3 linked regions of the Diceros bicornis minor genome follow. The protein of the gene in region 3 purifies or fractionates together with the protein of the main gene of each other region. This does not show direct contact. Links are inferred from orthologs where the notes say so. Each region holds a gene or a part of one and is shown on either strand. Other genes may lie near its edges.

Region 1 (8,394 bases), on a different chromosome or scaffold from region 3:
GCTTCCCCTTCACAAGGTCAAGTCCCTGAGTGTCTACCACCCTCAGGTGAGCTGCCTTCCTCCTGATGATCTCCAGCTCTGGCAGCAGAGAAAAGAGGAGGGGAAAAAAAAAGAGGGGGAGGGAAGGTATTCCAGCTGGGTTGGGGGTGGCAGAGGGAGTGGGTGGGATAATTCCTCTCTAGATCTCCTCTTCCATTCTGGGCTCTTCTGACCTGAGACCTGGGCCCTGCACCTCATCTCCTTTCTACCTCACCTTTTTGTAGCTGGCATACTGCGTGGTACAATTCCTGGAGAAGGAGAGCAGTCTCACTGAGCCGGTAATTCCCCTTCCGGGCCCCAGGGTGCACCTCTTCCTGTCGGCAGCACTTGCCAGTCTGCACCTATCGAGCAGTGCCGTAAGCAGGTGCTCAGGATGGGTGTGGCCCAATGGGTGACACGGTTTCCTCTCTGAAGGAGAAGTAAAACCTTTATACACCTAGGAAACAGATCCAGGCCAGAGAAACATGAGCAGTTAGCTGAGGCCACCCACGCTGTGCCCACCAGGGTAGGGAAGAGAGGGCAGGAAAGCTTCCTGGAAAACCAGGCAGGTGTTGAGTGAGAATTGTATCCCCATGTCCTCCTCTTCTCACAGGTGATTGTAGGACTTCTCAAGTTCTGGCCCAAGACCCACAGCCCCAAGGAGGTGATGTTCCTGAATGAGCTAGAGGAGATTCTGGATGTCATTGAACCTTCAGAGTTTAGCAAAGTGATGGAACCACTTTTCCGACAGCTTGCCAAGTGTGTCTCCAGCCCCCATTTCCAGGTAAGACCCAGACTTGGCATTTCCCACCCCTGCCTCCGAGAAACTGAGGAGGGTCTTCAGCCAAGCGAGCCATATCCCCAATGAGTGCCACCTGTCCCCACCAGGTGGCAGAGCGTGCTCTCTATTACTGGAACAATGAGTACATCATGAGCCTGATAAGTGACAATGCTGCCCGAGTCCTCCCCATCATGTTCCCTGCACTCTACAGGAACTCCAAGAGCCACTGGAACAAGTAGGGGGCTGGGGTGGGGCTGGGCACTGGGCCTCTGGGTTTGGAACCTGTGAGGGTGTGGAAGAGCTAGAGAGCCAGCGCTCTTACCTGGTCGCTCAGCAAGTGGGGCTGGTGCCCACTGCACAGTGATAGGCCCTTGAGGGCCTGACTGGGAGACAGGATCCCTGTGTGAGAGATCTCTGTGACACCAGGCAGCAAAGCAGGGACCTATATTACATCTCTGCCTGCCGTCAGATATCCTGCAGCTTTGGAGACTTAATTCCACGCTGTGAGAAGCCGATATGATCTTCTTAGTAGGTGCTGAATCCCAGCGCTGTAAAAAGGCTTTCCTGCTAAAAGCATGTGCCCTGGGGTGCAGATGTGGTCCAGTGTGCTGCTGGGAGGCCATCAGTGTGGGCTAGAGCGTAGGAAATGTGGGGGTGGGGAAGGATGGACAGGTGGACCAGTATTTGTAAAGACCCTGAAATGCCAACCTCAAGTCACATGATTTGGCCAGAGATGAGCTTATACTGTGCAGAGGTTTGTGCAATGGGAGCAGAAAATGAGAAAGCTCTTAGCAGAGACACCTCCTAGGAGAGAGCAGATTAGGGTCCTGGCACTAAGGGCAGGCTCTGGCCTCCTCTACCTCATCTTTCTTCCTGGTGGCAGGACAATCCATGGACTGATCTACAACGCCCTGAAGCTGTTTATGGAGATGAATCAGAAGCTGTTTGATGACTGCACACAACAATACAAGGCAGAGAAGCAGAAGTGAGTCTCTCTCCACTTGAGGGGCTTTCACCTTCTACCACAAGCCCCCCTTTGCTTCTCTCTTAAGCCCAACCCCAATCCCCTCTCTGTTCCCTCAGGGGCCGGTTCCGAATGAAGGAAAGGGAAGAGATGTGGCAAAAGATCGAGGAGCTGGCCCGACTTAATCCCCAGGTGAGGTTTTTTGCCACTGCCCTGAACTGAGGGGCCCATCTTGGGCTGGGGGAGGATTTGTTTGAGGCAGAATATGAAGCAGACAGGTTCACAGACTTCTGAAGTGGCTCTCACCACTTGTCCGTGCCTCTTTCTTGCTCAGTATCCCATGTTCCGAGCTCCTCCACCACTGCCTCCTGTGTACTCAATGGAGACAGAGACCCCCACGGCAGAGGACATCCAGCTTCTGAAGAGGACGGTGGAGACAGAGGCCGTGCAGGTGGGAGGGCACAGAGGAAGGGGGAGCAGAAATAAAAGATCTGGAAGGGAAAGGAGACAGCTGCAGCAGAGCCAAGGAATAAGGGGAAGAAATAATAGAATTTATTGGGAATTGGTCACCATTGCTCGCCTTTTCCGTATCCACACACAGATGCTAAAGGACATCAAGAAGGAGAAAGTGCTGCTTCGGCGGAAGTCAGAGCTGCCCCAGGACGTGTACACCATCAAGGCGCTGGAGGCGCACAAGCGGGCGGAAGAGTTCTTAACTGCCAGCCAGGAGGCTCTCTGACCCCCTCACCTTCCCATCACAGGGCCACCGCCCACTCAGCCCTGGGACGCTGCCCTGGCCCTCCACCCTCTGCTCCCCACTGGCTGACCTGGGGCAAGGCAGTGCCTCTTGAGCTACTCCAGGGAGAGGGATGCGGCACTTGAAGCAGGGACACCCAGAGTGGTCCCTCTTCTCCCCAAAATGTGTTCATGCCTCCCTGTGGCTAGTAGACAGGCTGAGCACTGAGAAGCTCAGTGCTCAGACAATTCGGGGATGCCTGTCCCCCTCCTGCTCCTAACCCCTGAGGCTGCTCTGAGAAACAGACGAATACATATGCTCCTCTCCCGTTCCCTTCATCCTCATTTGAACTCCAGGGGCCTTTCCTTCTCTCCCTCCCCTGCAGAAGCATTTGGGAGCAGCAGCAGATTATTCTCACCAAAGTTATGCCAAGCCCCACTGGCCCCTGGAGTGAGTAGCTGGAGGGGAGCCAACCCCCAGCAGCACAAATAGGCCCCCAGCCCCAGCAGTGTGCAGGCTGATGGGGTTGTATTGTTTCCTCTTTCCCCTGCCTGACCAAGACAACGTGGGAGGTCAAATGGACAGTAGGTGATGAATACAGGGCCCAGATGGACCAAGAGAAGGGGGTGAATGAACACCCGACCCTGTGCCCCCTTTGGTGAGCAGCAGCCCTGGGATCACAGACATGGAAGGGACCACCCTGCGGCTGACTGCTTTCCTGTGCTGTAGGTCCCCAAAGCGAGGAGGAAGGAAGCAGGGAGCAGTGCCCCAAGCATAGCTCCTCTCAACACCTATTTATTTCTTTGTTTGTGCTGATGCTGGGCAGGCCCTCACTTGTCCCTTTCAGGCACCTAGGAGGGGCAAGGGGCTGAGGAGGGCCAGACCCAGGTTCCAGGGGCACAGGCAGTGCAGCTTTTGGCTGTGTACATAGGGTGCTTTATTCTCCACAGAGTGATACATGCTAAGGTGGGTTGGGCTTGGGCCGATGTCCCCGTATGTACAGAACTGAATAAAGTGGGTCTCTGAGAAGTCTGATTTGCCTTGATGTGGAAAGGGAGGTGGGGAGGATGGAGATGGACAATACAACCAGGGATGTGTGTTCAGTCCGGTGCTGGTTCTGGCCTGGAATGCAGAGAGATAAGGCCGCTCTCAGGGTGGTCACTTCCAGGCTGGGGAAGCCTGCCGGGCTTGGAGGGCCTTCTGTACCACATCTTCCCACTGGGCATCTGATATCTCCCGAGCCCAGGCAGGAACCCCTGGCGCAGGCAGGCTGACTCCAGCCATCGTCCTTTTCACCAGCTCTACATGTTCTGAAACCATAGGCAAGGACCAGTTAGGGATAGAAACAATGAGACCAGCTCCCCTCCCCACTCCTTGAATTAACCCAGAACCCTTGGGCCAGCAAGGTCACCAAATCCATCTTTTTTCTAGGCAAGCCTGCCCGTCCTCCAAGTCTAGCAGAATAGCATTTCATCTGGATTCTGAAGTCTGCAAAATCTTAGATTACAAATTGCTGTTTTAGGAACAGGGTGTTCCTCTGTGACTTCCCTCTTCTGGCTCTGGCCAGTCTGTAATTATTCCAGAATGAAAGAATGATCTCTCTTACCTGGGTCCATGGGAATAGAGCTGTGGTTGCTCAATGCTGTAGCTCCCTCCTCATCTTCACCCTCGCTCTCTAATGGTGGGTCTGGCAAATGAAGCCCCAGGGCCTGCAGAGCCAGAGAGAAGACAGTTAAGGCCAGCCCTTCAGGGATCCCAGGTTCACCTGCCCAGGAACAATGCCTCCTCCACCATACCTGGATCCGATCCTGGATATCAGCAACTACATCTCCATCCCCTACTGGTGCCAGCTCCACCTCCTCTTGTTCAGGATCTTGGTTCAGGGGCTGGTAGGAGTAGCCAGCTGGGCCTGCCCCTGTTTCCTCCTGCTCTTCCTCAGGCTCCTCACTGCTCCAATCCCCAGTGCCTTCTGTAGGGCCCTGGTGCGGCCCTAGTTCCTCAGTCTGATTGGGGAAGATACGCTCAGGGCCCATGGTGTCTCCCCCTAGAACTACTGCTGCCATCCGGGCAGGGGCTGCAAGAACGGGGAGGGAGGATAGGGATCGGATGAAATCAGGTCCACCTTCAGCTTCTCATCCAGTTCCTTGTGGTTTCCTCCTGCGTCCACAAAACATTTAAACGCCCCCAAGCTTCCTGCACACCACCCCACCCGAGCCTCTCCTGAGTTCTCTTGGGCCCTCCACCTCTTAAGTCGGCTCTTATCTTGAACGGAGGCCCACCCACTCTGCTCTGCCAATGCTTAATAACAGTCCAACGGGAGGCCACGCCACGTACCCAAAGACACTCCTTCCAGAACCCCCTCCTCACCCCCGACTTGGAAACTCCGGATCGCCAAACAAGCTCCCGTAGACAGGGCGTACCCGCCCCCTTTTCCCCTTCCCAAGGGGTCCCCTCTGTACTGCCTGACAAACGCCCTTCAAGCTCCAGGGGTTCCCCTCAAATGGCCCCAGCTGCGGCGCCCCTACCCGCCCCCACCGACCCTCGGCGCCGGTACCCCCGCGCGCCTCACCCGCTCCGAGCCCGCGGCCGAGCCGCGCCTTCACTTCCGGCGGGGCAGGACGCGCGGGGACGCTCGGTCCTCCAGCCCCGCCCCGTGCCCATGATTGACGCGCGCGAGGACGCGGACCGCCGGAGGCCCCGCCTCCGCCAACCTCTGCTCGGACGACAAAGGACTACATTACCCAATAACCCGTTTTGACAGAGCTGGATACACGCGGACTCTCCTTCTGCCCCTGCCCACCCCTCTGCCCGTCACGTCCCTCCCGAAACCCGTGGACTACAGGTCCCGGGAGGCCTCGAGCTCTCGTCTGACTGCACGTGCGCACACCGGGCCCGCCCGAGGCACCTAGCCCGGCTGTGTTTATCTCGTTGGGGACCGAGTCGTCGGTTGGCGCGCAACCGGTTCTAGGCTGCAGGCAGCGCGAGGCCCCGCGGCCCCGCCCCGGCCCGGCCTGGCAGGTAGCCCGGGATGGGTTGAGGAACAAGGAAAATTGGAGGGGCTGGGGGCGCTCATGCCGGGAGCTGGAGTCATGGGGGAGGGGCCTGAGGGTGATGGGTGGGGGTAGAGAGGGATCTAGGGGGATGATGGGAAAGGAGAGTGTTAATGGGGAAAGAAGGGCTGGGGAGGATGGTGAGGAAACGGGTGGGAGAGACCTGGTGGCTGGAGGAGGCACTGAAGGAAATTGGGAGGAAGACTGGGTTGTGAGGAGAACGGGGAAGCTGAAGATAATGGAAGAAGCGGGGGAGGGGCTGGCGTTGTGGGGGAGGGGAGGTTGGGATGACAGGAAGACAGGGATAGCGTCGTATACAGGGAGGCAAATCTCTGGCCGAAAGGGGTCAATGAATCTTAGTTTTTTTTCCCTTAGTGGAAGAGGGAAAATGGAGGGCTGTCGGCGTGGAGCTTGGAGTGGTGGGAGAAGGAAAAAGGAGAAAACTGCAGAGCTCTCAGGAGATCAAGAAGGGCCAGAAATGGGGAGTGAAAATTGGGAGAGACCAGGGAGGGGGGTACATGAAGGGAATTGAGGAAGCTTGAGAATGCCCCGATGATGGAGGATCCCGGAGACCCAGAGATAAACGGAGCCCCTGAGACCTTGGGGGCTTGTCCTCCATGAGCTTGAGTTGTCCTTATGGAAGAGAAGCTGAGATTCTCTCCACGTTTGGATGGAATTGCTTGTCTTTTCTTCTGTGAATTCTTTACCTTGACATAGCTGAAGGGGGGAGCAGAAGCTAGGAGGGAAGATGAAGGACTCCCATTCTTAAGCCCTTCAACCTCGTATGTGCCCCCATGAGCCCAGATCCAAGATCTTTTGCATTGAGGTCAGGAGTAGTGAAGGGAGAGTGGTTTCCTACTGGGGCTATTTCAGGTTTGGCAGGGTGGCTATTTAAAGCATGGGGTGGAGGGTTGAGGGAGGTTAGGGGTGGCTGGTAAGCCAGCTAAAGCCATATCTCTTTCTTGCAAGGGGCCTGCCTTACTTGAGCTTTCTCTGTCCCTGAGGTTCTCTCTGGCTCTTCCCTCTGCCATGTCTTCTTGAACACAGAGCAGATGATCCTCCCAAACCCAGCAGGTGCTTGCCAAGGAAGGCAGTGCTAGCTGCAGGAGGATTTGCCTGACAGCCTTCAAATGTACCCATTATCACTAGGTTGAGAAGTTGTCTTTAAGAGACCGTGACCTCTCATGCCTAGGTCTTTTTCTTGTCCTGCCCAAGGTCATTTGTGCTTCCCTTCCCCTTTCCAATGCACACCCCCACCTCATCCGCCCTGTCAGGGACCCAAGTGGGAGAGTTGCTGCTGGAAACAGCTTGTTTTCTACCACAATAGCAGGGTGGGAGAAGCGGCAGGAGAAGAAAATCCCTCCTCCCCACCCCCACCCCCTCAGTCCCCAGCAGACACATACCTTTCTGGCTAAGTTCCTAGTCTTGGCAGCATACCAGGCACAGCTGTCAAAGGAACTCCTCGTGCCTGGGAGGGGCCCTGGGTGACCTCGATGGCAGCAGCTCAGCTTGACAAGAGCTCCCTATGAGGGGCTAACCACCCGTGGTAACATGGAGGCCCCTGTCCTGGATCAACCCCACCCTGTCCTCGATAGAGGGACTGTTCCAGTCTAAAAGCCTAAAAGCTTTTCTGCTTGGAAGCACCCATGCCAGCTTTCAATGGACTGTCTGGGGCTGGCTGTGCTATTAATAGCTCTGAGTATTTTGAGATCCCTCTCCCCACCTTAAAGAGCACACAGATTCTTAGAGAGGTGGCAGTAAGCAGAGCAGAGCCAGAGAGACAAGAGAACACATTGGCCTGGGAAGGGGGCTTGGAGCTTGTGCCAGGCCAGGGACAGAGTGGAGCCTCCATGAGTAGGGGGTGACCACCCTGAGAGCCTTGATCAGCAGATTCTGAGCTGGCAGTCAGGTCGGAGGGGCCCCACCCTTTGCTGTTGGCGAACACAGCCAGGGCTAGCTCCCTGACCTCAGCAGCTCCCCTGGGGCAGGGCCAGGCAACTGAGCCATGAGGGGTGGTGTGGGAGGGCCACCAGGGTGACACTTAAAGGCAAGGGCTGGCCCTGGGCAGAGGCACGGTGAGCCAGCCAAAGGCCTTGCCTGAGGAGCCTGTGGCCCTAACTTGTGTGCAGGTAGCAGAGGCAGCAGGCCGTGCCGGGGGGGCATGTTGCTGTAACCAGTGGCCCAGGGGATGTTACGGTGGACAGTGCACCTGGAGGGCGGGCCCCGCAGGGTGAACCATGCTGCTGTGGCTGTCGGGCACCGGGTATACTCCTTTGGGGGTTACTGCTCTGGTGAAGACTATGAGACACTACGTCAGATTGATGTGCACATTTTCAATGCAGGTAAGCTAATGCTGAGACCATCCTTAGGTGCCTGTCAGGGAGGGGAACGGGCGGCTGAATGAGGTTTGGTGGTGGTCTCGGTGGCCATAGGGGATGGGGGAATGAATATCTGGTTTGGGAGAAGGTGGACAGCCTCCAGAGATGTTCCCAGGGCTGAGCAGAGTTGTGCCCACAGTGTCACTGCGTTGGACAAAGCTGCCCCCGGTGAGACCCGCCATCCGTGGGCAGGCTCCCGTGGTACCCTACATGCGATATGGACATTCAACCGTCCTCATCGACGACACAGTCTTCCTTTGGGGCGGGCGGAATGACACTGAAGGGGCCTGCAATGTGCTCTATGCCTTTGACGTCAGTGAGTATGAGTCTCAGAGAGGCTGTGTTCTGCCAAATGGTGCTTCAGGGGACTGGGAATGGTGTGGTCCAAGGGGGCTGGGAATAGGGCACCCCGGAGTCTAGGAGGGAATGTCAGAGGTTGCTTACCTGGCCCATTCTCTCACCTCCTT
Region 2 (8,025 bases), on a different chromosome or scaffold from region 3:
AAAACTTTTAAGCTACTCTTAGCTTCCCGGAATGTTAAAATTCAATTTTTTCAAGTATAAAATGAGAAGGTCTGTGTAACCAGCCCCCAAATTCCTTCCTATGGTAAGCTAAATAATGCCCCCCAAAGATATCTACTTCCTAATACTCAAAAACTATGAATATATTACCTTACATGGCAAAGGGGACTTTGCAGATATGATTAAATTAAGGATTTCGAGAGAGATTAACCTGGATTGTCAGGGTGAGCCCAATGTAATCACAAATCTCCTTATAAGAAGGTCACAGTCAGAGAGAAGATATAAGAATAGAAGCAGAGGTCAGAAAGAAGATGCAGGGGCCATTAGCCAAGGAATGTTGACAGTTACTAAAAGTTGGAAAAGGCAAGGAAATGGATTCTCCCTTAGAACTTCCAAAAGGAATGCAGCCCTATGGATCCATTTTAGACTTCTGACCTCCAGAACTGTAAGGTAATAAATTTATGTTGGTTTAAGCCACTAAATTTGTGGTAATTTGTTACAGCAGAAATAGGAAATTAAGACATTTCTAAAGTTTACACCTTGGAAGTTCATTAAACTGGAGGTGCTCACCTCATTTAGCTGCTCAATTATCTCTGACACAAAGCCATTACCAAAGAGGAATTTTTAAATAGTGTCCACAGCAACCTTGCAATCTAAGCGTTGCATGGTGGGTGGTGGTGGTAGAAAATTCTTTTTTAGGGTAACCATTATTTGGTTATACTAGCTGTACAATAGTGACTGTATAAAGAGAGAGTACTTATTTTTAGTTTCATTCTGTATTAAATACGAATTGCTTAATTTGTTGAAAGCAAGGAATCATAATAAATTATACTATGGCTGTTGATTCTTGTCCTGGAGAAAGTGAAACTGATTTAATTTTCAAAAAGACAGAGAGAAGATGTAAATGAACTAAATTACAGCTACAGAAAGAAAGAAAAACTATTGTACTGCATTAGAACAATGCACTGTTTTAAAAGAAAAACTGGGAAAGTTTTCACACTATTATTAACTACTTATTTACACAAGATTTCTAATCGATTATGGAGTGAGTAATCTTTTGGGAGCTCTACTACAAGTGGCAGAGCTAGTATATACATGTCTAAAACCTGTTCTTGGAAGAGGTCAATCTCCATATCTGTATACAATGCAGGTGAAAATATAATGAAAATTGGATAAAAAAAAATTTATACAATGAAGTCCTTCATCTTGGTCATAAAACTGGTTTTAAAAGTTTTTATTATGTTTTACAGTATTAAAGACTAAGAAATAGCACATTATAAACCATTATGACCTCAATAAAATAATTGAAAAAAAAAAGACTGAAAAGTAACCTAATATTTAAATAATAATAATAGCAGTCCAAAGCAAAAAATTAAATGAATCAATTAAATGAATATTTGTAGTGTGCTTAAATCTATTTGATAAGACATTAAATTTAATTTAATAATTTAAAATAACCTATTAATAAAATAGAATAAAATTCACTAGTAATTTCTATAAACTAAGTACTTTTATATTAAACACAAATTTGGTTAGTGTTCTAAACCAAAATCATGTCCCCTTTTCTCTATGCTCTTATCTTCCCTATTTAAAAAATTGTGAAAACTAATTATCCAACTTCCTTTTTTCTTTTTGTATGTAAACAAATAAAGTCTCTTCTAACATATTCTAGAACTGCAAGGCCAAACTCCCAGTCTCCAAGGTGCTGGCAAAATTTTAGAGATATCAAATTAAGAATCATGTGTGCCTTATTTTTAAAGGACTCATGCCTCACTTCTACCCTCACGCAACCTCTCTAGTCTCAACATCTCTCCACACTTCAAATCTCAAACAATCTCAAGTTTTAAGGCATTTTGGTTTTGTTTTTTATTTCTGTATTTTAAAATGTATGAAATTTATCCTATGTAGCATAGAGTTAGGAAAGGAAGATTCGCTTGTGAAATTTGTGAAGTTCCAAATAGAATTACTTTCCTTTGTCTTGTTATGCTGGAGTTTTTGCAACGTGCATTTGTTTCCTATAAATTTATTTTTCAGAATCAGAAATCACTGTCGACACCAAGAATAAAACTAGGGTGGCGACTGCCAGGAAGAATTCGTTTTTAGTCTGAAATTTAGGAAGCTAGCGAAGGCAAACAACAACCAAGAACACACAATCCCCCTCCCCCCAACACACACACACAAAACTAGGGTAGGGAGGAGAAAAAAGGCATTTCTCAAAAATGAGGAATTGAAAACTCTACCCCAAATATGTTAATCTATATCAAGTAAGCTAAAAATAGCAAAAATAATAGGAGATACCCCCAAAATGGTAATTAAATTGATATCATTTCAGGCTAGGTCACACTAATGTTTTTCTTCATATATATCTGTCTGTAATTCCTAGTTTCACAAGCATATGTTTTCCTTACTCAGTTAAAATAATAAATACAATATGTAGTTGCTTCTGAATAATTCCAATGGACATTTATTCCAACATATACAGTAGTAGATTTCCACTGAAATCTCCCCTCGCAAGAAAGATGGTAGGCTCCATTGAGGACTCTGTGAGTTCGAGCAAAGTAGTCTCAGCAAATCTTAGATTTCTTTAAAATCTTGCGTTTTATTTCAAACGTTCGTACATTTTGTCTGACAAAGAACACATCTCGGTCTATATTAACACAAATAGGCTCTCCCCTCCAAATCTACAGTCCAGTCTAGAGATCTGCACTCCACGTGCCTCCTCATTTCTCCCGTGGCTCCCTGAGCCCCCGAGGCGTCGCCAAGAGGAGGTCTCCGACTCCAAACTCCATCTGAAAACTCTCCAGGAAGTCTCCCCTTTACCGAGAATCGAAGCGCTTACCTGGCTCCGACTCCTTTGCAAACCTCGTCCTCTATAGCCGCCCCCATCCCCTCCTCCCGCCGACTCACCTGAATCGGGCTCCGACCGTGAAGGTTGAGCGCGTTGGGTGGCGCCCCCGCCTCGAGCAGCGCCCGCACCTCCTCGGCCCGACCCCGGGCGGCGGCGGTGGCCAACCTGTCGGCGGAGGACTCCATGCTGCTCCCCAACGCTCGCCCCTCGCTTTCTCCCTCCCTCCCGCCGCCGCCGAGCGCCACCGGCCCGCCCCAGCCTCTCGTGACCAGCCGGCCCCTCCTCTTGCCTCCGCCTTCCGCCGGCCCCCGACTCTGCCCCTCGACTCCCCCTGCGGGAGCGCGTTCAAGTGTTCTCCGAGGAGGCGCCCTGGGCTCGGAACACGCTGCAGATGTCACATCTCCTGAAGTCGCCCCGCGCGGGGCCTCTGCCGTCACCGGTGGGCAGCTCGCCCGGGGGCACCGGCCGGAAGCAATCCGTGCCAGCAGCCCGAAGAAGCGGAGGGGGCAGGGCGCCCGGGGCCCCTCCCCACCTGCCTCTGCCGCGTCCCCGCGCCCCTCCTCCCCGCGCTGCGCTCCCCACTCCAGCACAGGCGCACACGGGGCTCGAGCGAGTTCACTTCATAAGGCGCAGATTCTCCCTCGTTTCCTCCCTCCCCTGTACAAACCCTTGGCATTAGAAAGCTGCACAGGATTCCTAACTGCCATGTTCGAACCAGGGTGTTTGAAGTATAGGCAAAGTATTGCTTCCTCTTTTAATCAGAAGAAACGGCTGAGAGTCGGTATCACGGTATGACTATGAGGCTTCCCTTCTTTTAGAGGACATGCTCCCTTCTCCACCACTCAGCACTTGGCTTTCTCCTGCTGGGTCCACAATGCCAGAAATCCTAATTCAAACGTTCATTTTGGAGAATCTGCCCGCCTGCCAGCCTTTCCCCTGCCTCCCCCACACACACGTGTAAAACGGATGTCGGAGGCGAGAGTCTCCCAGACTTGCGCAATGCCTGGTACTAGTGCCTGGTATAAGGGCTGACCCCCAGAAGATGAGGTCTATTCAACAGGGATGGTGGAGATTTCTGCCTATAAGCAGAGAGGAAAGTGGCAAAGGGGTCATTGGACTGGTAGACTCCATTTGCTTTTTTTTTGAAGTATAACTAACATACATTATATTAGTCTTAGGTGTACAACATAATGATTCGATATTTGTATACACTGCGAAATGATCACCACGATAAGTCTAGTTACCATCTGTTATTATGTAAAATTATAAAATTTTTTTCTTGTGATATGAATTTTAAAGATTCACGTTCTTAGCAACTTTTAAATTTGCAATATTACAATATTATTGACTATAGTCACCACACTGTACATTACATGAGTTATGTATTTTATAACTGGAAATTTGTATCTCTTGGTCTCCTTCACCCGTTTTGTCCAGTCTCAAGCCTCCCACCTCTGTGGAGACCGCCAATCTGTTCTCTGAGTTTTGTATTTTTTTTTTTATACTCCACATATAGGTGAACTCATACAGTATTTGTCTGTCTCTGACTTACTTCACTTAGCACAATACCCTCAAGGTCCATCCAGGTTGTTGCAAATGGCAAGATTTCATTCTTTTTTATGGCTGAGTAGTGTTTCATGTGTATATATCTATATACACCACATCTTCTTTATCCATTCATTGGTGGATGGGCTCTTAGGTTGTTTTCACATCTTGGCTGTTGTAAATAATGTTGCAATGAACATAGGGGTGCATATATCTTTTTGAATTACTGCTTTCATTTTCTTTGGATGAATATCCAGAAGTGGAATTGCTGGATCATATGGTAGTTCTATTTTTAATTTTTTGAGGAACCTCCATACTCTTCCAAAGTGGCTGCACCATTTACATTCCTACCAACAGTGCCTGAGGGTTCCCTTTTCTCCACATCCTCACCAACACTTGTCATTTTTGATAATAGCCATTCTGACAGGTGTGAGGTGGTATCTCCTTGTGGTTGTGATTGTATTTCCCTGATGATTAGTGATGTTTAGCATCTTTTCATGTGCCTATTGGTCATGTGTATGTCTTCTTTAGAAAAATGTCTATTCAAGTTCTCTGGCCATTTTTAAATCAGATTGTGTGATTTTTTTTGTTATAGAGTTATATGAGTTCTTTATATATTTTGGATATTAACCCCTTATTGGATATATGATTTGCAAATATCCTCTGCCATTTAGTAGGTTGCCTTTTTATCTTGTTGATGGTTTCTTTCACTGTGCAGAAGCTTTTTAGTGTGATGTAGTCCCACTTATTTATTTTTGCTTTTGTTGCCATTGCCTTTGGAATCAGATCCAAAAAAAAATTTCCAAGGGTAATGTCAAGGAGCTTACTGCCTATGTTTTCTTCCAGGAGTTTTATAGTTTCTGGTCTTACTTTCAGATAGACTCCATTCTTTTTTTTTTTTTTTTTTTTTTTTTGGCTAGGAAGAGTCGCTCTGAGCTAACATCTGTTGCCAATCTTCTTTTTTTGCTTGAGGAAGATTAGCCCTAAGCTAATGTCTGTGCCAGTCTTCCTCTGTTTTCTATGTGGGTGGCCACCACAGCATGGCTTGACAAGTGGTGTAGGTCTGTGCCTGGGAACTGAACCCAGGCTGCCAAAGCAGAGTGCACTGGACTTAACTAGTACGCCATGGGGCCGGCTCCCTAGACTCCGTTCTTAATAAATAATCCCTCCTAGATCAGAAAAAGTGCTTAGCACTCTAGAGACAGAGTTGCATAGTGATTCAGAGACCAGGCTCACACACTGTCCTGGGGCTGCTCCTCTCCCTCCCCCTACACCTCTCCTTCCTACTGGAAAAATCTTACCATTTTCTTAGTTATAAAATAGGGGGCTGAGTGGTCCCTACTTCATAGGGCTGTTGTGAGTTTTAAATGAATTGATGTACATATAAGCATTTAAAACAGTGCCACACATCCTAAGCTAATACCAGTTAGCTCTTAAATTATCCATTTTGAGGGTTCGCTTGCAACCTTGTTGTGAGGCACAGAGAAGAACATGCTTTTGATAGAATTATCAATAGTATATAAAAGGGAAGCCCAAGAAGACCTGAATCACTGAAAAGATGATAGACACCCTCCACCACCCTCGTATGTAATGAAAAGTTAAACAGAACTAAGAGCATAACAAGTGAAAGAAAATCCAACAAGGTTCTAATTTTTCCCATGGTTATTACTTTTACACTTTTAAAAAAATATAGATTTTTTAAAAAAATTGAATTACTCAGGCTTTGCTGATGCCTTAAGGATATGCTTAATCTGCCTACTAGATAACCCAGCTCTATTTAAAAGTTATGTTTCAATCCCTGGTTAACATCTCTTGAAGACCCAGAATACCTGACTGTACTTTCAATTGCTTTTAAAATGATGCCAATTAAAACAGGTGGGATGTCAAATCTGTTATAAAAATCCACTGTGCATTACTGTGCTATCTATATTTTCCTCCAGGTACCTCTCAATTATTTGGACAACAATGGTATGGAAAATTCAAACTGTGGTAGAGAACATAAAATTCTTTCAATGTAGCTTAAGGTATTGATGGGAGGGAGGGAACAGATTTCCCTTGTAATATGTCTGGCTTTTAGACCAAGATCAAAATTAGTTTCCATCACTAAAATAATGGTTCTTAATCTTGGGGCAGGGTGAGTAGGCCCCTTTGGGAATCTGTTGAAAGCCGTAGACCCTCTCCTCAAAAAATAAAGTATGCAATAATTTTTTTAAAAAAGTGTGTTTCCTTGCACATGCATTTCTGAATATAACTTACAGGGAATTCAGAAATTCGTCTAAAACTCAACTATGGATTCCTATATCAAGAACTCTTTAGGGGCTGGCCTGGTGGCGTAGTGGTTAAGCTTCCACGCTCTGCCCTGGTGGCCTGGGGTTCAGAGGTTCGGATCCCGGGAGCGGACCTACGTACTGCTCATCAAGCCGTGCTGTGACAGCATCCCATATACAAAATAGAGGAAAATGGGCACACATGTTAGCTCATGGCCAATCTCCCTCACCAAAAAAAAAAAAAAAAGAACTGTTTTAACCTTATGCAATATATCAGACTGTTGTTGAAGGACATTGATGGCTGATGGAACCATATAAAAATATCCCTTGGGTGCATTATATGCAGACATGGAGCTTGGCTTCTCCCAAGAACAGGTTTTAGACATGTGTCTACTACTAGCTCTAGCACTTGCAGTAGAGTTTTCAAAAGATTATGGTATCCTTGGGTGTGGCCCCTTTGTTCTGGAAATTGACCCAATACTCCATTAGAAATCTTGCATAAAATGTAGTTAATAATAGTGTGAAAGCTTTCCTAGTTTTTCTCTTAAAGAACCTACCACACTCCCAATTTACCCTTCCATATTATCTCAGACCTAAGGGGCAAAACCTCAGAAGAAATAAAATATGAAGCCCAAGATGCCAGTGCTGGTTATGCCAGTCTCAGCTCTTTTCCGTGTGTAAGATGGAATCATAATATATTTCATGAGTTGATAAAATAAGAAGATGTATGTCAAAGAGCTTTTGTAAATTTTAAAGTTTGTTGGTTATTCTTATTATCACCCCCAAACTTACTTTTCTTCTTCCCTGAGAATGTCATGGCCTTGTTTAGGTTTATGCTGCATTGGCAGAGAAAAAAGATTACCACTTGTTCATTCATTCAACAAGCTCAGAGGCTAAGGGTGGAGCATGGAGTGGGGTAGGTGTTCAAGATATGGTCTCTAGAATTGGATTGCCTGCCTGGATTCAAACCTAGACTTTTCATTTAATCACTCTATAACTTTGAATAAAGTTACTTAATGTATCTGGGCCTCTGTTTTCTCATCTGTATAACTGGAATAACAATAGCACTGGCCTCAAACAGTTGTTGTAGGGATTAAATGAGGTATTACATGTAATGTGTGTAGAAGAGCAAAAAGAAGCAGAGGGTGACAGAAGAAAATGAAAAGGCAACCAAACTCATTCTGGTGGCTTAGGCAAAGGCTCCATCGATGCTGAAAGCTGACCCTAGTCTTGAAGAAAGGTGTAGGAGTATAGAGATGTAAAAGGAGAAAGATGTTCCAGGCAGAGGTGAGAGCACGTGCAAAGGCACAGAAGTTTGGAAACACTGAAAGCAATTCACTGGGATTT
Region 3 (7,661 bases):
GAATTCAACTGACAGTACAGACATGAAACCACTGCTTTCAATCACGATCAAACATTTCTCCAGTATATAAAGAGAACAGGCAGATAAGAAAGGTGGAACACAAAAGAAACAGTGCAAACTTTTGAAAAAAGTCTCAGGAAAAGTAACAACTCTAACAACTCTACATCCCATGTAGAGTTGGTCCCAAACTCAAAGCGGGCAGGACCAAGTCAGAAAAGGCTGCGGAGCCCCAGAGCTTTCTCCTCTTCTTTCTACATTCTTTCTTTAGGTGGTCTCATCATGTTTCATAACTTTTAAATACTATTTAATACTCCAAAAAATACAAGGTGTCAAAGCAGGTCAAGTATGCTACCACTTTTGCAGAGTGGAGAGAATATATACATATTTGCTTATATGTGCACAAAACATATCTTTGGAAGGATACGTAAGAAACCTCTAACATTGCTTGGCTCCAACGAAAACTGGGAGACGAAAACTGGGAGACGGGGGACAAGAAACAGGGGAGATTTTCATTCTATACCCCCATCACACTTTAAATTTTGAATCATGTGAATGTAATTTTTATTCAAAATATAATTATAATAAACCAACAAATAAATGCTGATGACTCTCCATCTCTTTCTCTCCTCACTAGAATCTAAGTTTCCTGAAGGCAGAGATTTTTGTCTATTTTTTCACTGCTATATCCCCACTGCCTGGTTCATAGCTGGTGCTTGAAAAATAACTGTTGAATGAATGAATGACTCCTTAATCTCTCCACTAAACTCCAGACCTGTATATCTAATGCCTACTTCTCACCTCTACCTGAACATCTAATAGGTCCTACTTAACACGTCCAATCCAGTTCTATCCCCCTAACAACCTGCTTCCCTCACGTCTTCCCCATCTCAATACATGGCATCACCATCCTCCAGTTGAAGCCAAAACCCCAGGAGTCACCCCTGTCCCAACCAACTGCACCCCCAGCCAAACCACAAGTTCAGTAAATACCTTTAACTCCAGACATATCTCAAAATCTCTTTTACTGACTCCAGTCACTACTCTACTCAGTCAGCTTTGAGAGGAGTAGTGACTGGTCTTTCTTTTCTCCTCTTACCCAATCTTCCCAACAGTCAGATTCTAAGTCAGACCACATCACTCCCAGCCTTACAAAAATTCCAATAGCTTTTCAATGTACTTTAAGAATAAAAGCCAAACTCCTTTGGACAGTAAGACATCACATGACCTGGCCCCTGGCTAGGACCTCCCCACTTAGCTCTCACTAGGATGCCCCTTTAATGAACTTCTTCCCATTCGCTGAACCCAAGCTCGATACCACCTCTGGGCATTTCCATTTGCTGTTCTCTCAGACAGGAACACTCTTCCCTCAGACTTCCAAACGCTAAATCCTTCTCCCTTCGCAGATATCAGGTCAAAGGTCACCTCAGACATGTCTTTCCTGACCACAGCATCTGAAGTAGTCTTCTCCCAGTCACTACCATAACTCTCTATTTTATTTCCTTCATAGCACTTGTGATTCTCTGAAAATATTTTTATTTCCTATTTATTGTCTGTCTCTCCCTCTCCCACCAGAATCAAAGCTCCAGGGGGGAAGAAATTTCAGTGTGTCTTGTTTACTGCTGTCTCCCTAAATGCCTGCAACAATGCTTGGCATACGAACCAGGTGCTTGATAAATACTTAACTGATAGATAAGGCAAAACTGACTTTAAAGAAGCTCCACAACATTTAATTTAGTGACAGATGGGTGAGGATAAAAGACATGGATAAACTATCTTCACATTTATAAAACACCAAAAATCATCAGAGAGGGGGGAGAGTGAACCAAGAGTACTTCAGATGCACGGACACATTCAAATACAAAGAAAAGGCATTTTTCACACACTATGTGCACCCACAGTGTAGAAATGTTCCCCCAACTTATAAACAGCATCTGAAAAAAAAAGGATAACTCAAAACGCTGTGTCCATCTGTTATTTCATTTATGACTCTTTTGGAAGAGTCTTCCAAACACTGTATTTGGGCAAAACAGGCCAAGTATAACCAATTTTGCTCATTTGTCTATCTTGGAAAAGAATGTGACATTTTAAAGGGAAGGGAACAGGCTTTTAAGTGTTTTTAAATGTCTATTAAGTAGTCAGTAATCAATCAGAACAAGGTGATTATTTCCCATATTTTACTATGAATGTAGGTCTGGCACAGGTCTCTTTCAAAGATTTTTATATTGTAAAGTTAGCCTACAGCGAATGTCAGTAGTTTATATCTTACTATCTTCAAAATTTAAACTTCCAAGGTGCTGCCCTTTTACTGGTAATAGTAATCCATGGGGGAAAAGAGAGGATTTAACAATAACAACAGCCTGCAATTCACAGATGTTTTATTTACATGCACGCATTCGTGGGGTGGTAGGGATGGTCCAGACTCCCCAGTGTGTAACTAAGTGCTCTAAAGAGAGTCTGAGGCTCTTATTTCACAGATCCTAAGTGTTGAGACGGATGCCCTTAGGATACTGCTCCCCAAAGCTATCAATCTTCCCTGTCGGCGGAAACAAAAGTGAAAATACTCGTGGTAAGGATGTAAGAAATTGATGCCCTCCTCCCCACCCCCAACCCAGACACACAGAGTTGTGGATCCGTGGGAGCCCGTAAATAAGCAGAGGAGTCCACGCACTCTCACCTCCCTCCTTCGGAGGAAAATGGGGCCGAGGGAGGGGCGGCCAAGGCCGGGCTGGGGAGGCCCGGGATCCAGTCCAGGGGGCGGCCGGGCTCAGGGGTCAGCGCTCCAGGGAGCCGGGGTCACTCACAGGACACCGTCTTCGCTGGCCGCCCCCTGCATCCTTCCCCCTCCCCGCTCCTCGCCCCCAATTCCTTTCCTCCGCCCCGTCCTCGCCACCCATGAACCGGGAAGGGAAGTTTCCCGGCGCCTGCAGCCCGGCTCCCCGACCCTCAGCGGGGTTACCTGCTGCAGAAGCGGGACAAGGGGCAGGGGACAAGGGGAGGGGGAGGCAGCCCGAAGGCGTGAAGGACGAAGCCCCGGCGAGGAGGGTGGGCGGCGGCGGCGGCTGTCAGCTCGCGTCCCCTGCTCACAGCGCTGCCATTACTGTGCGCCGAGGCCGCCTCCCCGCCGGCCGCCGCCACCGGCCCGGAGACGCGGGGGGAGCCCAGCCCGGGAGCCCGCGCGCCCGACGCTCACCTGCCACCGCGCGCGAACGCCGCAAAGCCAAGGCCGCCGCCGCTCCCGGACGGGACGTGGCGTGGGGAGGGGGAGGGGAGGACGGGCTGGTTACGGGGTCCGTGAAACGGCCGTTCTCCGGGCGGCCGGCTTTCCCTGACACCCTCCCTCCGGTCTCCCTTCCGCCACTTCCAAACCCCCCTCCGCTAGCAGTGGTAGGGTCCGCGTACGGCAAGCGCAGGGAGCCCGGCTTAGTGCATGGCGAAAGGCCTCGGGGAGCAGTCTCTAAAGGGGCTGCGTGCGGTGCTGATTGTTAACGAGGCAAGCGCCAGGCTGTAGTCAGGGCCCTCCAAGTTTGGCGGCTACTCGCTGACGAAAAGTGTCAGAAAGGCGTTTTCAACAAAAGTATTTTCCTGTGAGTTGTTTCAGAGCTACGTGAATATTCTGAGACACCACAGCCTCCTTGCCACACGCTTCCATGGGCTTTTCAAATGATCAAAAATATATCAGCAAAACTGCTTTTCCCTTTGACAGACTCCTTTTCTAGTGGGTTTTTAATCAATAGACAAATAATGATACATAAATGTATTTTCGTTAAAGGAACTTCTCTTCACAGTCTTGAGCACTTATTCCCCACCACCAGCACTATCATATCCCTGGAAAGGGTTTTCCTCCCTTACAATTTGGTCATGTTGATGAAAATATAGATTTACTAGTCATCTCCTCATTTACACAGAACCACAAGAGAACGAAAGCCTGGCTTTATTCCTTATTTGTCTTTCATATCTCAGTGGTCAAAGTCTTGTTCTTCATTTGTACGTTCTGAGCAAGACTTTCCCTTCCAACCCTTTCTTCAGACTATTTGTACTGATCCTTCAAGGCCCACTTAAATCCTGTCTCCTAAGGTGATAAATCCCACCACTCTTTAAGATTTAAGAAGCAATCTCTTATCTCCTTCTCATGGCACTTGAAGTCTGTACACTTTATTTTAATAAAGTTATTATATACTAAATTCAGTTCAATGGTTTGTTTCCATTATATGACCTTTTTTCTCACATGTTCTCCATCTTTTGTGTGTGTGTGTGAGGTAGCTTGTCCCTGAACTAACATCTATTGCCAATCCTCCTTTTTTTGCTTGAGGAAGATTGGCCCTGGACTAACATCCGTGCCCATCTTCCTCTACTTTATATGGGACCCCGCCACAGTATGGCTGGATGAGCAGTGTGATGATCTGCGCCTGGGATCTTGAACTCGAGATTCTCTGGCCACCTAAGCAGAGCGTTGAAACTTAAATGGCACCAGGCCAGCCCCATGTTTTCCATTTTTTAATTCAACAATTCTCAAAGTGTGGTCCTCAGATGTCTGGAAATCTCCAAGACCTTTCCAGGGGTCCCAAGGTTAAAAACAATCTTCATAATGATACAACATGTTTTTTATCTTTTTTATCACATTTACACTTATGGTGATAAGCAGTAGTAACACCCCTGAAGTTGCCTTAGCGGGAACCAAGAGGGTTGCACAAAACTGTCCCAGTGGTCAATGGATCACAGTATTGTTTGCTGCCACACACTCCACTCCACACTGCCAAACCAGTTTTTTAGAATATCTATTTAGGAATATCCTTGATGAAGTAGTAAAAAGTATTAATTTTATAAATTTCAGCCGTGAGTACACCTCTTTCTAATATTCTGTGTGAAGAAATGGGAAGTACACACTTTAGCTCCATACCAAAGTAGGATGGTTGTCTTGAAGAAAAACATTTGTGTAGCTGAGTTGCAAGCTGACCTAGCTGCTTTTGTCATGGAACACCATTTTTCCTTGAAAGAACAACAGATAAACTAATGTTACTCTGACTTGGTAATTGACAAATATTTCTCCAAAATGAATGAAGTGAGCTTAATACTTCAAGCAAGACAGCTGAGAGTATTTGTTGTCAATGATAAAATTTAGCTTTCAAGTGAAATTTGAAAATTTGGGTAACTTGTGTTCACCACTATAAGCTTGATAGCTTAAAGACTTTTCTGATGAGACTGTAGTGCTATTAATGAATATGACTTTTTGATATTGTATGATGAGATATGTCAACATATGGAAGATCTACATGACACAATAAAACAGTATTTTCCAAATGACCAATGCAGGATGTTATAAAATCACACATGGATAAAAGATCCATTCAAAATACAAGAGAGACCAATTGGTAGATAGGGGTGTGTGTGTGTGTACACACACAAAAAAAGCCGAGTACACAGGTGACTTGATATGGTTTCAGATTCCTCATGGCAACTAATCTTTAAGAAACTACCACTTGTCAAATTTTCTGTAGTATCAGAGAAGAATACACACCGGTTATCCAAAAAGACCATTAAATTCTCCTACTAAGGCCTCCTATTTTCTTCATGTACTTCAACCACGGAGAACCTAGCTATCTTCTATTAAGCCAGACATTAGAGATATGCAAAAATGCAAAGCAATGCCATTCTTCTCACTAAATTTTTTTTATTTTAGAAGATATGTTTTTTTTTTCATAAAACTTTGCAATTTATGTTAAAATGTGTTTGGGTTTATTATTTTTTAATTTATAAATAGGGCTTTTTAAATCCTCTTTTTAATTCTAATATGGTACCTATTGATACATATAACCCACACAAGCATAAGTTCTTTGAGTTCCTCAGTAATTGTTAAGAGTGTAAAGTGGTCCACAGACCAAAAGTTTGAGAACCCCTGCTCTAACTCATGAACTGCATCCGCTCTCACCACTTTCCTTTTGAACTCTAGCTGGAGATGTGGACTAGCACAAAGGGTGCCAAGCATGAATGGCCATAACACCCCACTATTTCTAAATTCAGAGACTTCTCACCTCTTCCTAACTTATTCAACCTATATAATAGGGAAATGACATTTCTAAAAAAGTTATAGCATCCAAGCCCCTAACATTAAATTGAGATTGCAACTTCCTTCAAGAAAAAAAAGTTTCCTTTCTGGCCAACACTTCAAGCCACCACTTTAAAGCAATGGTTGGTCTTTACCTCCAAACCAAACTTCAAACTCTAGTTTATCCATGAATCTTTTCTTTGTTTTACTTTTTAGAAAAAATTACATATATTTCTAAAAATGTGTTTTGGCTTTGTGTAAAGTTTATTGAATTCCTTTATATTTTTTGTGACTTCAAAAGTAATAAATGCTTTTTTGTAAAAAAGAAACAAAAAACTACCAATATTACAGAGATAAATAACCATGTGTAGCTTGATAAATACTCCTCAAGATATTTTCTATGAATATTATTAAATATTTTGACACAAATCAGGTCATATTATAGATATGCTATTTTGTAGCCAGCTACTTCAAAATCTTCCTGATTTTGATCTTTATGAGAACATAAATAATTTTTAGTCAGGCAGAGTAATTTATAAATTAGTATTTAAAGAGGAAAATTAATGAAAAATATTTTAAGTAGAAATCTTAAAATGTCATTACATAAATCGGTAAACAAAGTATATCCACTTCTATTCATTCTCTATTTGTGAGTATACATAATTTTTTCTTTCAAAAATTTCCAAGTTCATTTCATAATCTCCCTGTACTAATTATTTGAGGAGTCCAACCAGAACTACTTGCTGTCTTTATAAGCTTCCTTTATAGATATAAAATCCAAAGAGCCCTGATTTTGCTGCGATATTTATGATTTCAAATAATTTGTCTCATTTTTATATTCTATATACTAAATCTGAATCATCTTTTCTTAAATCTTTACTAGGAATTTGCATTTCCTGGTTATATCATTTATTAAATATTTTTCCACCTTTTGCTTCTAGTAAACTAAAACAAATGAGATATTGAAGAACAGGTTTCATGTTTGGAGTAGCTAACCAAAGAGCTGTGTTGTGCTTATAAAAGAAAATGCAAGACTCCTCTTTGGAGAAATATCTGACTGTAGGGCTGGGGCAGGAAATACACAAGATGAGCCGGGAGAATCTTGTAGTGTAAGAAAGTAAGGAAGTGCTCAAAAATAAAAACATCCACATTGGTGAGGGTATGTCAAAGGTTACAGGAGGCAACTGAAAGAGCTCCCACTAGCCAAAGCTAGAAAAATGTGAGCAAGAAAGTGAAGCAGTAGGATATGGGAGATCAAGAGTTGGCCACCCTGAAATATGTCTCTTTACCTTGATTGTTTTCTCTGACAGACATTTGACCTCCCCCACTAACTGCCTAAAGAATTTAACATAGAAGACCTGTTCCAGGAAGGAGTTACTATCTGATGCTGGTAATACAATGTAAAACAGATGTTACCATAGGAAGGCACCAACGAGCCCATCTTATCAAAAATTCTGTCTCTGGCCATATTCTCTAGGTGGCCCTGCAAGGAGTTGCCAGACAAACATTTACATTCATAAGGGAAAATCTCCATTTGTAAAGGTATCTCCCTCTCTGTATTGGGAAGAGGAGGGATGACCTCATTTCTATAAACTTATCAATGTGGAAGGTGAGGCCT

Evidence for each region. Proteins that work in one complex are often made in the same cells at the same time.
Region 1: the proteins of CUL2 (region 3) and kelch domain-containing protein 3 purify together in Homo sapiens (affinity purification with mass spectrometry; 5 studies listed by BioGRID and IntAct, counting the BioPlex papers as one, with this or other methods). This does not show direct contact. The link is inferred for Diceros bicornis minor from reciprocal best matches to the Homo sapiens genes CUL2 and KLHDC3.
Region 2: the proteins of CUL2 (region 3) and cyclin-dependent kinase inhibitor 2A-like purify together in Homo sapiens (affinity purification with western blotting; 3 studies listed by BioGRID, with this or other methods). This does not show direct contact. The link is inferred for Diceros bicornis minor from reciprocal best matches to the Homo sapiens genes CUL2 and CDKN2A.

The regions. Positions count from the first base shown.
Region 1 is NC_080753.1:22,654,755-22,663,148, reverse strand, and holds the start of kelch domain-containing protein 3, read left to right. Parts: upstream 1-5,307; 5' UTR 5,308-5,517; intron 5,518-7,678; 5' UTR 7,679-7,737; coding exon 7,738-7,891; intron 7,892-8,066; coding exon 8,067-8,243; intron 8,244-8,394. Other genes in the region: PPP2R5D (serine/threonine-protein phosphatase 2A 56 kDa regulatory subunit delta isoform), read left to right, coding at 1-46, 264-317, 632-802, 907-1,034, 1,683-1,784, 1,883-1,955, 2,098-2,214, 2,365-2,502; MEA1 (male-enhanced antigen 1), read right to left, coding at 3,658-3,809, 4,106-4,208, 4,296-4,562. UniProt on the Homo sapiens protein: Substrate-recognition component of a Cul2-RING (CRL2) E3 ubiquitin-protein ligase complex of the DesCEND (destruction via C-end degrons) pathway, which recognizes a C-degron located at the extreme C terminus of target proteins, leading to their ubiquitination and degradation.
Region 2 is NC_080761.1:44,432,165-44,440,189, forward strand, and holds the start of cyclin-dependent kinase inhibitor 2A-like, read right to left. Parts: upstream 3,088-8,025; 5' UTR 3,052-3,087; coding exon 2,926-3,051; intron 1-2,925. UniProt on the Homo sapiens protein: Acts as a negative regulator of the proliferation of normal cells by interacting strongly with CDK4 and CDK6. This inhibits their ability to interact with cyclins D and to phosphorylate the retinoblastoma protein.
Region 3 is NC_080775.1:32,877,142-32,884,802, forward strand, and holds the start of CUL2 (cullin-2), read right to left. Parts: upstream 3,303-7,661; 5' UTR 3,191-3,302; intron 3,087-3,190; exon of another isoform or gene 2,957-3,086; intron 2,802-2,956; exon of another isoform or gene 2,675-2,801; intron 1-2,674.